2 linked regions of the Chlamydomonas reinhardtii genome follow. The protein of the gene in region 1 interacts with the protein of each later gene in a pairwise test. Links are inferred from orthologs where the notes say so. Each region holds a gene or a part of one and is shown on either strand. Other genes may lie near its edges. The genes, in order: CHLRE_06g258100v5 and CHLRE_02g110400v5.

Evidence for each region.
Region 2: the proteins of CHLRE_06g258100v5 (region 1) and CHLRE_02g110400v5 interact in binary tests that used the Arabidopsis thaliana proteins (3 or more experiments, as listed by UniProt). The link is inferred for Chlamydomonas reinhardtii from reciprocal best matches to the Arabidopsis thaliana genes SAC3A and EER5.

What each region holds. Positions count from the first base shown.
Region 1 is NC_057009.1:1,262,899-1,267,316, forward strand, and holds the start of CHLRE_06g258100v5 (uncharacterized protein), read right to left. Parts: upstream 2,975-4,418; 5' UTR 2,724-2,974; intron 2,558-2,723; 5' UTR 2,554-2,557; coding exon 229-2,553; intron 24-228; coding exon 1-23. Other genes in the region: CHLRE_06g258150v5 (uncharacterized protein), read right to left, coding at 3,381-3,505, 4,004-4,418. UniProt on the Arabidopsis thaliana protein: Component of the TREX-2 complex (transcription and export complex 2), a muliprotein complex that functions in docking export-competent ribonucleoprotein particles (mRNPs) to the nuclear entrance of the nuclear pore complex (nuclear basket).
Region 2 is NC_057005.1:5,745,504-5,749,966, reverse strand, and holds the start of CHLRE_02g110400v5 (uncharacterized protein), read left to right. Parts: upstream 1-1,407; 5' UTR 1,408-1,643; coding exon 1,644-1,701; intron 1,702-1,937; coding exon 1,938-2,130; intron 2,131-2,474; coding exon 2,475-2,526; intron 2,527-2,782; coding exon 2,783-2,896; intron 2,897-3,145; coding exon 3,146-3,256; intron 3,257-3,436; coding exon 3,437-3,543; intron 3,544-3,761; coding exon 3,762-3,894; intron 3,895-4,082; coding exon 4,083-4,217; intron 4,218-4,454; coding exon 4,455-4,463. Other genes in the region: CHLRE_02g110450v5 (uncharacterized protein), read right to left, coding at 62-136, 308-364, 445-583, 792-928, 1,083-1,181. UniProt on the Arabidopsis thaliana protein: Involved in the regulation of ethylene response. Probable TREX-2 component required for nuclear RNA export.

The sequences.
Region 1 (4,418 bases):
AAGCTCATCACCGCCTCGCGGACCTGCACGGGTGCGGGGTGGCGAGCGCAGGTGGTGATGGAAGAGAGCATTCTGGCGGCCATGGTAGCAGCAGGAGCCAGAACCGGCACGGCATGTAGAGCGTGCGCCTATCCGAACCCCCGCCCCCGATGCGGTCTTTTCACCTCGCGCTGTCACTCATCCCGTGCGGCGTGCGCTCTTAGCCCCAACCCCTGAGCCCCTACGCACCTTGAGCGCGTGCCGGATTTCGGGCGCGGCCGCCAGCTCCGATGGCACGTTGCGCATGGTGTGCAGCAGCGCCTTGGTCATGGAGCCGGCGTGCCGCCGCCCCGCTGTGGCGGCGTGCACCGTCTCGTACAGCAGCCGGTAGCCGGTGAACTCGGCCACACAGCCGGGCACGCCGTCCGCGTACAGGTGCCCCAGCCGCGCCTGGCACTGGTTGAACTCCGCCACGTCGCCGTACTCCAGGCTGCTGCGGCCGTGCGCCTCGTACACGCGCACCGTGAGCGCGTTGCGCAGGTGCTGCACCGTGCAGTCCTGCCGCATGCCCTTGAACTGGTCCAGCGAGTAGAAGTAGGTGGCCTCGCGCGACGCGATCAGCCGCACCAGCCGGTCCAGCGCGCGACACAGCACCGGCTCCGGCCGCACCGAGGACGGCTCGGGCTGCGAGGTGAGACGGAAGTAGGACTTCTCCAGGTTGTTGCTGGTGCCCACCACCACCTGCCCCCCGCCGAAGCGCCGGTCGTCATCCTCATAGTCGTCATCGTCATAGTCGTCCGACTCCGAGCCGCCGTAGCGGCCGGCCCCGGCGGCGCGGCCGTCGCCGAAGCGGCCGGCGCGCGCGCGGCGCTTCTGCTCCTCGGCTGTGGTGTAGGCGTGGCCGTGCGGGCTGGCCGCCGCGCCTCCGCGCTGGTGCTGCCGCGCCTCCAGCGCCAGCAGCTTCTTGCGCTTGCGGTTGCTGAGGTGCTGGTGGCCGCCGCCGTGCGGCGAGGGCGCGCCGTGGCGGTGGTGCTGCCCCCCGTACTGGCCGTAGTCCTCCTCATCCGAGTCCACGTCCTGCGACCGCTCATACCCGCGACCGCCGGCCGCCGACCGGTAATCGCCCGCGCCCGCGCTGCCGCCCGCCGGCACGTCGCCCCAGCGGTTGCGCTTGCGGCCCTGCGGCCCCGACGGCGACAGCGCGCCGCCGTCAGCGCCCGGTGCACCGCCGCCGCCGCCAGCTGCCGCGCCGTCTGGCAGCATGACCGCCTGCGTGTCCCAGTCGGTGGTCCACAGGCGGCCCTCGGACTTGACCTGGTCCAGGTACGCCATCAGCTTCTCAGACAACCGGTTGTCCGGCACACCCCGCAGCCGAGCCGCGTTGAAGCAGCGCGTCACCCAAGCCGTGAAGCTGGGAGGCCACTGCGTGTTGCCGCCGCCTGCCGCCGACGCGGGGCCGCCTGTGGCGGCGGGGCCGGCCTTGGCGGCTGCGGCCGCAGCTGCAGCCCCGGCCGCCGCAGCCGCCACGGCAGCGGCCACGCCAGTCTTGCCCGGCGCGGCGGTGGAGGGGGCGCCGCCGACGCCGATGTAAGCGGGCGCGGCGGCGGACCGGCCGGTGGGCATTTGTGGGCGAATGACAAACGGTGCCCGGCTGAAGCGCACGGCAACCGCGGCCGCATGCTGCTGTGGCGTGAGCTGCTGCTGCCCAGTGGCAGACGCAGGCGGGTCGCCGGGCGGCGGCCGCGGCCCTATCGGTGTCATGTTGGTGCCTGTAAGCCCGGTGCGCTGGTTGCGGTTGTTTTGCTGCTGGTGGCCGTTTTGCTGCTGGTGGCCGTACAGGTTTGCGGGCGGCGGCGCTGCGTTGTACGAGTCGACAACGCCAGAGTAGGGCTTGGAAGAGCCCGCAGCGGCTTGGACCGGCTTGCCACCCGTGCCCGGCGGCGGGTCGCCCTTAGGCGGCGCCGGAGGCGGTACGCCCGGCCTAGGCTGTGGGTAGCCTGGCTGGGAGGGATAGGCCTGCTGCGGCTGCGGCTGTTGTTGCTGCTGTTGCTGCTGCTGCCAATACTGTTGCGCATATTGCGGGTCGTAGCCGTAATACCCGTACTGCGCATACCACTGTGCGTAGGCTGCAGAGTCATAGCCGCCGTTTGCGGCTGCAGCCGCGGCACCTGCGGCCGAGCCAGCACCGGGCGTCACGCCTGCAGCCGCACCTGGGGCCGCAGGTGCAGACGGCGGGGGCGCGGTTGGCGCGGGCTTGGCGCTGGCGGTGCCAGAAGCGTGTGGCGGTCCGCCTGGTGGAGGTGGCGGCGGCTTCTCGTCATCAGCTGGTTTGTCCGGCTCCGCGCCGGGCGGGGGAGGCGAGGACGGGGGTGCTGGCGGAGGTTGCGCGACCGGGGGAGCAGCGCCGGTAGCGTAGGCCTGCCCCTGCTGCTGGTAGTACGCCGAGTAATCATAACCATTACCATAACCATATGCCGCGTAATACTGTGCATAGTAAGGGTCGGACATTCCCGGGGCAGCTCCGGCGCCTGCGGCGCCCCACGCAGTCTGCGGCGCAGCCGTCTGATACGCCATTTACCTGAACAACAACAATGAGACAGCGTTGAAAAAGGCTCCGAGGCGTAAGAGGACTGACAGTGACAGGGCGCGGCGCCGAATCTGAGAGCCCCGCCGAAACGGCTCCAAGCCCTCCCAAAGGCAGCAAGGGGAGTTAACGGACAAACAAAGCAACCAGAAACGCCCACCTGGTCCGAAGCGGGTGCCTCGCTGCTGAAGATTCGTGGGTCAGCAGTGGTGCGGCCAGTTAAGTGCAGCTGACGCCCATAACGGCCCACTATGGATGCTATGAGGAATGCGTTTACTGTGCGCTGCCAATCCAGAGTCCGAAGACGCAACGCAGGGGGATTTGCGAAGTTACAAGGAGTTGCCCTCTGAGCAGAAGATATATTACCTAGCGACTCCTACAACTATGCTGGTCCTTTTGAGTATACTGTATTGTGGAAAGTAGGCAGACACGGAGTTGGGCAGCATGTTGTTCAATGCGAGAGCCAGCCACGCCCATGCATGCTGGTTAGGCCCTCGATGGCACCTTTAGCCAGCTTCCTAAGAAGGCCCTTTGCAACTGTTACAGGTCTGATGTTCATCGGTCCCCAGGAAAACTCGTCTGCTTGCGGGTTATCGCACGCACTGCAGGCGCATACACGTGCATTCCTTCCCTGCGCACACGAGCGCCACCCCATAGCGGACCGTATCGTACTCCAGGCCACACTCCACCCCGGATTGCACCTGCAGGCCGGCCCCGTCAAATCTCCACCGGGCAGCTGCCCACTTCCTTAGCCATGCCGACCGACAAGTCCGGTCGAACCCAACAAAGCGCAGCCCCAAACCCGGAGGTCACGAGCCTACTCGTCATCGTCGCTGTCCTCGCCGTCCTCCATCCCCATCATGGCCATCATGCGCATGGCCAGGTCCGCCGCCCGCTCCCGCCGCTCCTCGTCCGACATGACGCCCAGGCGGTCCTTGTGGCCTGTGCAGGAAGGGGGCACAGCGAGAGCGCCGTGCGCAGGTGTGACCTCGGCAGCGGCGATCCAGCGGTGCGCAGGAACATGGACACCTGCAAATGTGAACATGCGATGCGGTGCTGCATGGCGGCGGAGGGAGGGGGTAGGTGACGTGGGCCAAGGAAGTTGGCTGCATGGCTCCGGCTCAGCACCACCCGGTACGGGCTCCGCGCGCCCCGACCGCCATAGCCGCCTTCCGCTCCGACTGCTGCCGTTGCCGCGGCGCCGAGGACGCCACATGAGCGGTAGCGGTATATCAGGGCCCGGTCCTAGCTATCACCGTGAGCGCGGCCCATGGTGCCCTGATGGCCGCATCACCATGACGCCAGCAGCTCCGTGCCATGCACAGCTCCGAGGGCATTCCCATGAGGCGATTCCAAGAGCCCAGTGTGCCTCACCCAACACGTGCCCCAGCTGCTGCTCAAGCGCTCCCCCTCGTCCACCACCACACAACAGTGACTTACCCCGCATCTCCTCCATTAGCTTCTCCAGCCCCTCCATCACCTTCTCCGCCTCCTCGTCCTCCGCCTCCTCGTCCTCCACCTCCTCGTCGCGCCGGCCCCCGGCTTTTGGTGCGGCGCCCATAGGTGCGGTTTCCGAAATGGCCGGGGCTGCTGCTGCTGGCTTGCCGGCCTCACCGCCCGCCGCTTTGGAACCCCCGTTGGCGGTGGCAGAGGCGTCCGCGTTTCGTGCTGTTGAGGTGAGTTGGGGTTTAGATGGCGCATCAAGCCCGCTGCTTGATGTTGCCGCTGCTGCCGCTGTGTCCTCCCCACCTAACGCCGTGTAGCCGCTGCCGGCCGCGTCCGCATCCTCCTCCACGTCGTCGTTGCCGGAGGCGCCAGCAGCTTCCAAGGCAGTGGCACCACCCGCGGCGGCTGC
Region 2 (4,463 bases), on another chromosome or scaffold:
CCCCCACACGACACCCCGAAAACCTGCTCCACTACTCTCCCCTCCCCTCCCCTCCCTGTACCTCAATATAGTCCATGCCGCCTGAAGCGCCGGACAGCAGCAGGTCCAGCGAGTGCACGCCCGTGAACTTGGCCACCTGGCGGTGCAATGTAGCGCGCCAGCAGGGTAGCGCACGGATGCGTCATCCGGCTTCAGTGGACGACCGCTAAGGCACATAACGTCACACGGCAGCCCCCAAAAGATTAGTAAACGTTGCAAGCATATGTGAGCCCCCAAGCCTTTAACAGCTGCCAACACGTAGCCGCACCTGTGTGGGGTACTCGATGATTCCGCGTGCGTCGCCATCTACCGCCAACTCCCACTCCTGCACGGTGACCGCCGGCAGCATCAGCAGCCACTCACAAAGCACATCAAGCAGCATCCGCTCGTATCATGCACGCGCACCTGTACGGGCGCCGCCTGGGCCGCGGTCCCAAAGTCCAGGTCGTCTCGGTTTATGTAGGCCCGCATGCGGCCGGGAGCCGTGCCAGGCGGCCCCCGCGCGATGACACTGATAGCCTTCAGCTTAACCGAGCCATCAAAGCTGCGGCGCACGACAAGGTCATGCAAGACATTGTGAGGTAGGGAATGGCGCACATTTCACGCCGGTCGCTTATCGGCATCTACTCCTGGCGAGCGGAGACGACGCGCCCATCTGTCCTGCGTGCGCAGGCGTGCATGCATTGAAGAACCCCAGCCCTGAGGTGCGGCAGCAGCCCTCCCGCCACCAGGTTGCGGTGCCTAAAACTCACGGCACGTGTATCAGCACCTCCTGCTCGTCCTCGTCTTCATTGCTGCGCAGCGGCGTCTCCACCGCGTCGAGCCGGGTGTGCCACGGCCGCAGGATGTTGCGGCAGGAGCCCACGGACGCCTCGTTCAGGCACCGCACCTGCACGACGCGTACGAGCAGGACAAAGGGCTTTTCCATTTGCTTTTTACAATGGATTAGATGTGCGTGAATGCAGGCGTGTTGCTGCGGAACGCGCTAGGGTTGGAAGCGGCTTTGCAGCTACCGCGTGCTGGCACGCCCCTTCCCTCCCGACCTGGTCCACCGCCACGTGTTTGTAGAGCGAGTAGGCCACGCCGCAGTCAGCAGCCTCGCAATCATGGTCATGAGCACAGCAAGCTTTGGTCGGGGGCATGTTTGGCGAAGAGACCCCAAAAACGCCAAAACAGTTGGGAATCTGTCTTCAGCTGCAGCTGTTTAGACCGAAGGATGTAACCTAACAAGTGAGATGCACAAAGTATAGGACAAAGCACGCGTTGAATAACTACACAAGCCGATTCGCCCGAACCTGGATGCTGCCAATCCCCAAAGCGCCAGTATGCACCTGTTCAGTGAAACCTTTCACGTCCTTTTACGCTGTACTGTACTTAGGAACTAGGATCGCCCTACTAAAGCTGTGAACGCTTGCAACGAAGGTCGTCGGCACGAATTCCTGTGTAGAACCGGTTGGACAGTATTGGCCGCCTTGCTGGCGTCTTTACATGACACAATACCTGTACAAGTAAGAGTCATCTTAGACTGGGCGCAGGGCTCGGCGCCATTTGTGCTGGCCATCTCGCACCGGCCCTGCGCGGTGTGACGGCTGAGGATTTAGCAAATGGCACAGCTCTCCTCATATGCGAACGAGCTGGCGTCAGCCCTGCGGCGACGGGAAGGTCGGTGCCGGCAGGCGTGTTTGGGGGATGGACACGGCTGCATACCAGGCACTCCTGTCACGCATACCGAGCCCCGGGAATGGGGCTTTCTGGACTTCCATCGGTCTCGGCAAACGTAGTGCCCTCAGGCGCTAGCCTGCTCTCCGCTCCCGGGCCTTTTTTGCCCGCCATCGCCAACACTCAGTGCCCCATCCCCGCATTGCACCACCCCGCTCCCCACGGTTCGCCAACCCCAGGCCGCCAAGCCGCGGGCCTGCTGTCGCTGAGCTCCAACGCCGGCCTGGTGGCACGCAACCTAGCGGCGTCCGGGCGGCCGGTGCCCAGCAGCGGGCCGCTGGCGGCGCTACCCGAGGGCTGGCCGCCGCTGGTGTCCGCCTACCTGCGCTGCATGGTGGCGCAGAACAACGGCGAGCGGGCAACCGCATGCAAGTGAGTGACTGGATGTAATGGTGAGGGAATGCAGGAGCGGGAGCGGGAAAGGGGGCTGGAGGAGGGGTAAGGCGCGCAGGGAGCGAGCTGACCGGGATCGTGGCTTGAGGGCCCTGCGTGACGGAGTACAGCGAGGGTAAACGGGAGGATGCTGCGGTATGGCTGTGGTGATACCGTAGATGGCAAGTACCGGGTGCTGGTGCTGGGAAATGTCGGTGTGGCTCGATTTATGTTGCGTGGAGTGAAGAGGCCTGGCCCCCCATCACCGCCACCAAGCATATATGTGCTTGCCTGGTGTGCATGCCTATGTAATGCACGCCCCTCCTGCCTGCATCTGCGCACAGGGAGTACCGGGAGTATGCAGACGGGCTAGCATCCATGCTTAATGCAGACAAGGTAGGTGGCTGGTGGGCAAGCCGTTAGGCTTTGCACTGGTTTCAGCATTGGGTTACCAAGCAGTCTTGAGGTGCTCGGTGCCTGAGCACCCATGCGCGTATTTGTACGGTAGACCTCATCGTACTTGGAACCGCGGTGTATGCCACTAAAGCCAAGCATTCAGTGCTGGGGGCGCACGTTACCGTGGCTTGCATGAACTGGCGCGGCTGGTTGACTGTGGCCAAGTCCTACCCGTTCGCCCCCCTGTCTGCTGCAGGGCGTGGAGAGCGAGTGGATGATTCCCATTGCCCTGGGGGCGGCCTCAGCGCTCAAGGTACTGAGCGAGCTGGCCGACGAGGAGCTCAACCGCAAAGGGCTCACAGCAAACATGGTATGTGGCAGCTGTGGGCGGTTGGGGCGGGACGGGCAGTCTCAACTTGCAGTTTGGCTTGGGCGCGGTTGCGCGAGTCTCGTGCGGATGCTGCAGCACTGGCCGGCACCCGTGCATCCTCAGCTGCATCCGCCTGGTCTGTCACGGCACTAGCCTCGCGGTGTCCCGGGCGGGGGCGGGCCACCCGCGCATGACGCTCCCTCAAGCCACCTGACCTAACAATCCCCTCTGCACGTGTCATCGTCGCAGATGTCGGAGTGCGCCATCACGCTGCAAGCCTTCTTCCGCGGCCTGTCCACCAGCAAGTCCAGCCAGGTCAAGAAGGACGCCAGTGTGGCCATCGTGTGCGTGATGATGAAGGTGGGTGCGGAGGTGCGGGTGCATGTATGCCACGTGCTGCCGGACTGCAGCTGATGTTGCATGCTCTAATGGCTGTGGCGCTCATTCAGAGGCTTGGTTTACGATGTGAAGTGCAGGACCCTGCCCGCCCATCCCGACACCCCGCATCTGCTGCGGCTGTGCTCACCGGATGCGCTGCAGGTGTACTTCAAGCTGAACGCCATCAATAACTGCAAGCAGCCGCTGCAGCAGATTGAGGTGGCGAGGCTGTTCGACAACGCCAAGCAGGCGCACAAGGTGACGCTCAGGTAAGCAGCAGCGCAGCATAGCATGGTATGGCAGACGGATGCCGCCGCCCTGCTATCACCGTATCTTCGCGCCTCTGTGTGCATGCCCTGGCTGTCGCCGGCAATCCTCTGGGGCCCTATCCCACCATGCCGTCCCCTACTGCTTTTTGCTCCCTTACCTTCTTTTGTACGTTGGTGACGGTATGGATTTTGGAAACAACCCCTCTCATCACTACCAGGTACTACACCGGGCGGCTGGCCGCCTATGACGAGGACTTCCAAAAGGCGGACGAGCACCTGAGCTACGCCTTCGAGCACTGCCTCAGCGCCGCGCCCAACAACCTGCGCCGCGTGCTGCGCTACCTCATACCCGTGAGTAGTCGCCTGTCGGGCTGCCGCAGGGTCTTGCTGTGCTTTCTCCGGTTACCCTGTAGAATGCAGCTGCTCAACTGGGCGAATGTGGCAGAGCAGCGGACAACACGAGGGGACGCCCACAGCGGTACTGGTAATTCCTATTGTGCCGTTACCACCGCGTCGCCGCCCTGCCCTCCGTCCCACAGGTCAAGATGCTGTTGGGCGTGCTGCCGCGTCCGCAGCTGCTGCAGCGGTACGGCCTGACCGAATACGAGCCCATCCGCCAGGCGGTTGCAGGCGGCGACCTGGCGCTGCTGCTCAAGACGTTGGAGGAGAACCAGGTGCGACTCCCACCGTGCGCATGTGTTCTGTGGTGCAAACCTGCACGGTCGCCCGGCTGGGCAGAAGAATGTGGGCTTACTTAAAGAGACAGTCCAAAAGCGCGAGGGCCCAGGGACCGTCAGGCATGAGCATCGTGGCCCTGGCATGCAAAGATGCGCACCCGCTCATGTCGGTGCCGTTCACCATGTAGCCATCTTTTTCACCCATAACAGCACCTTTGTCACCGTCACACACAGGTCCGCTTC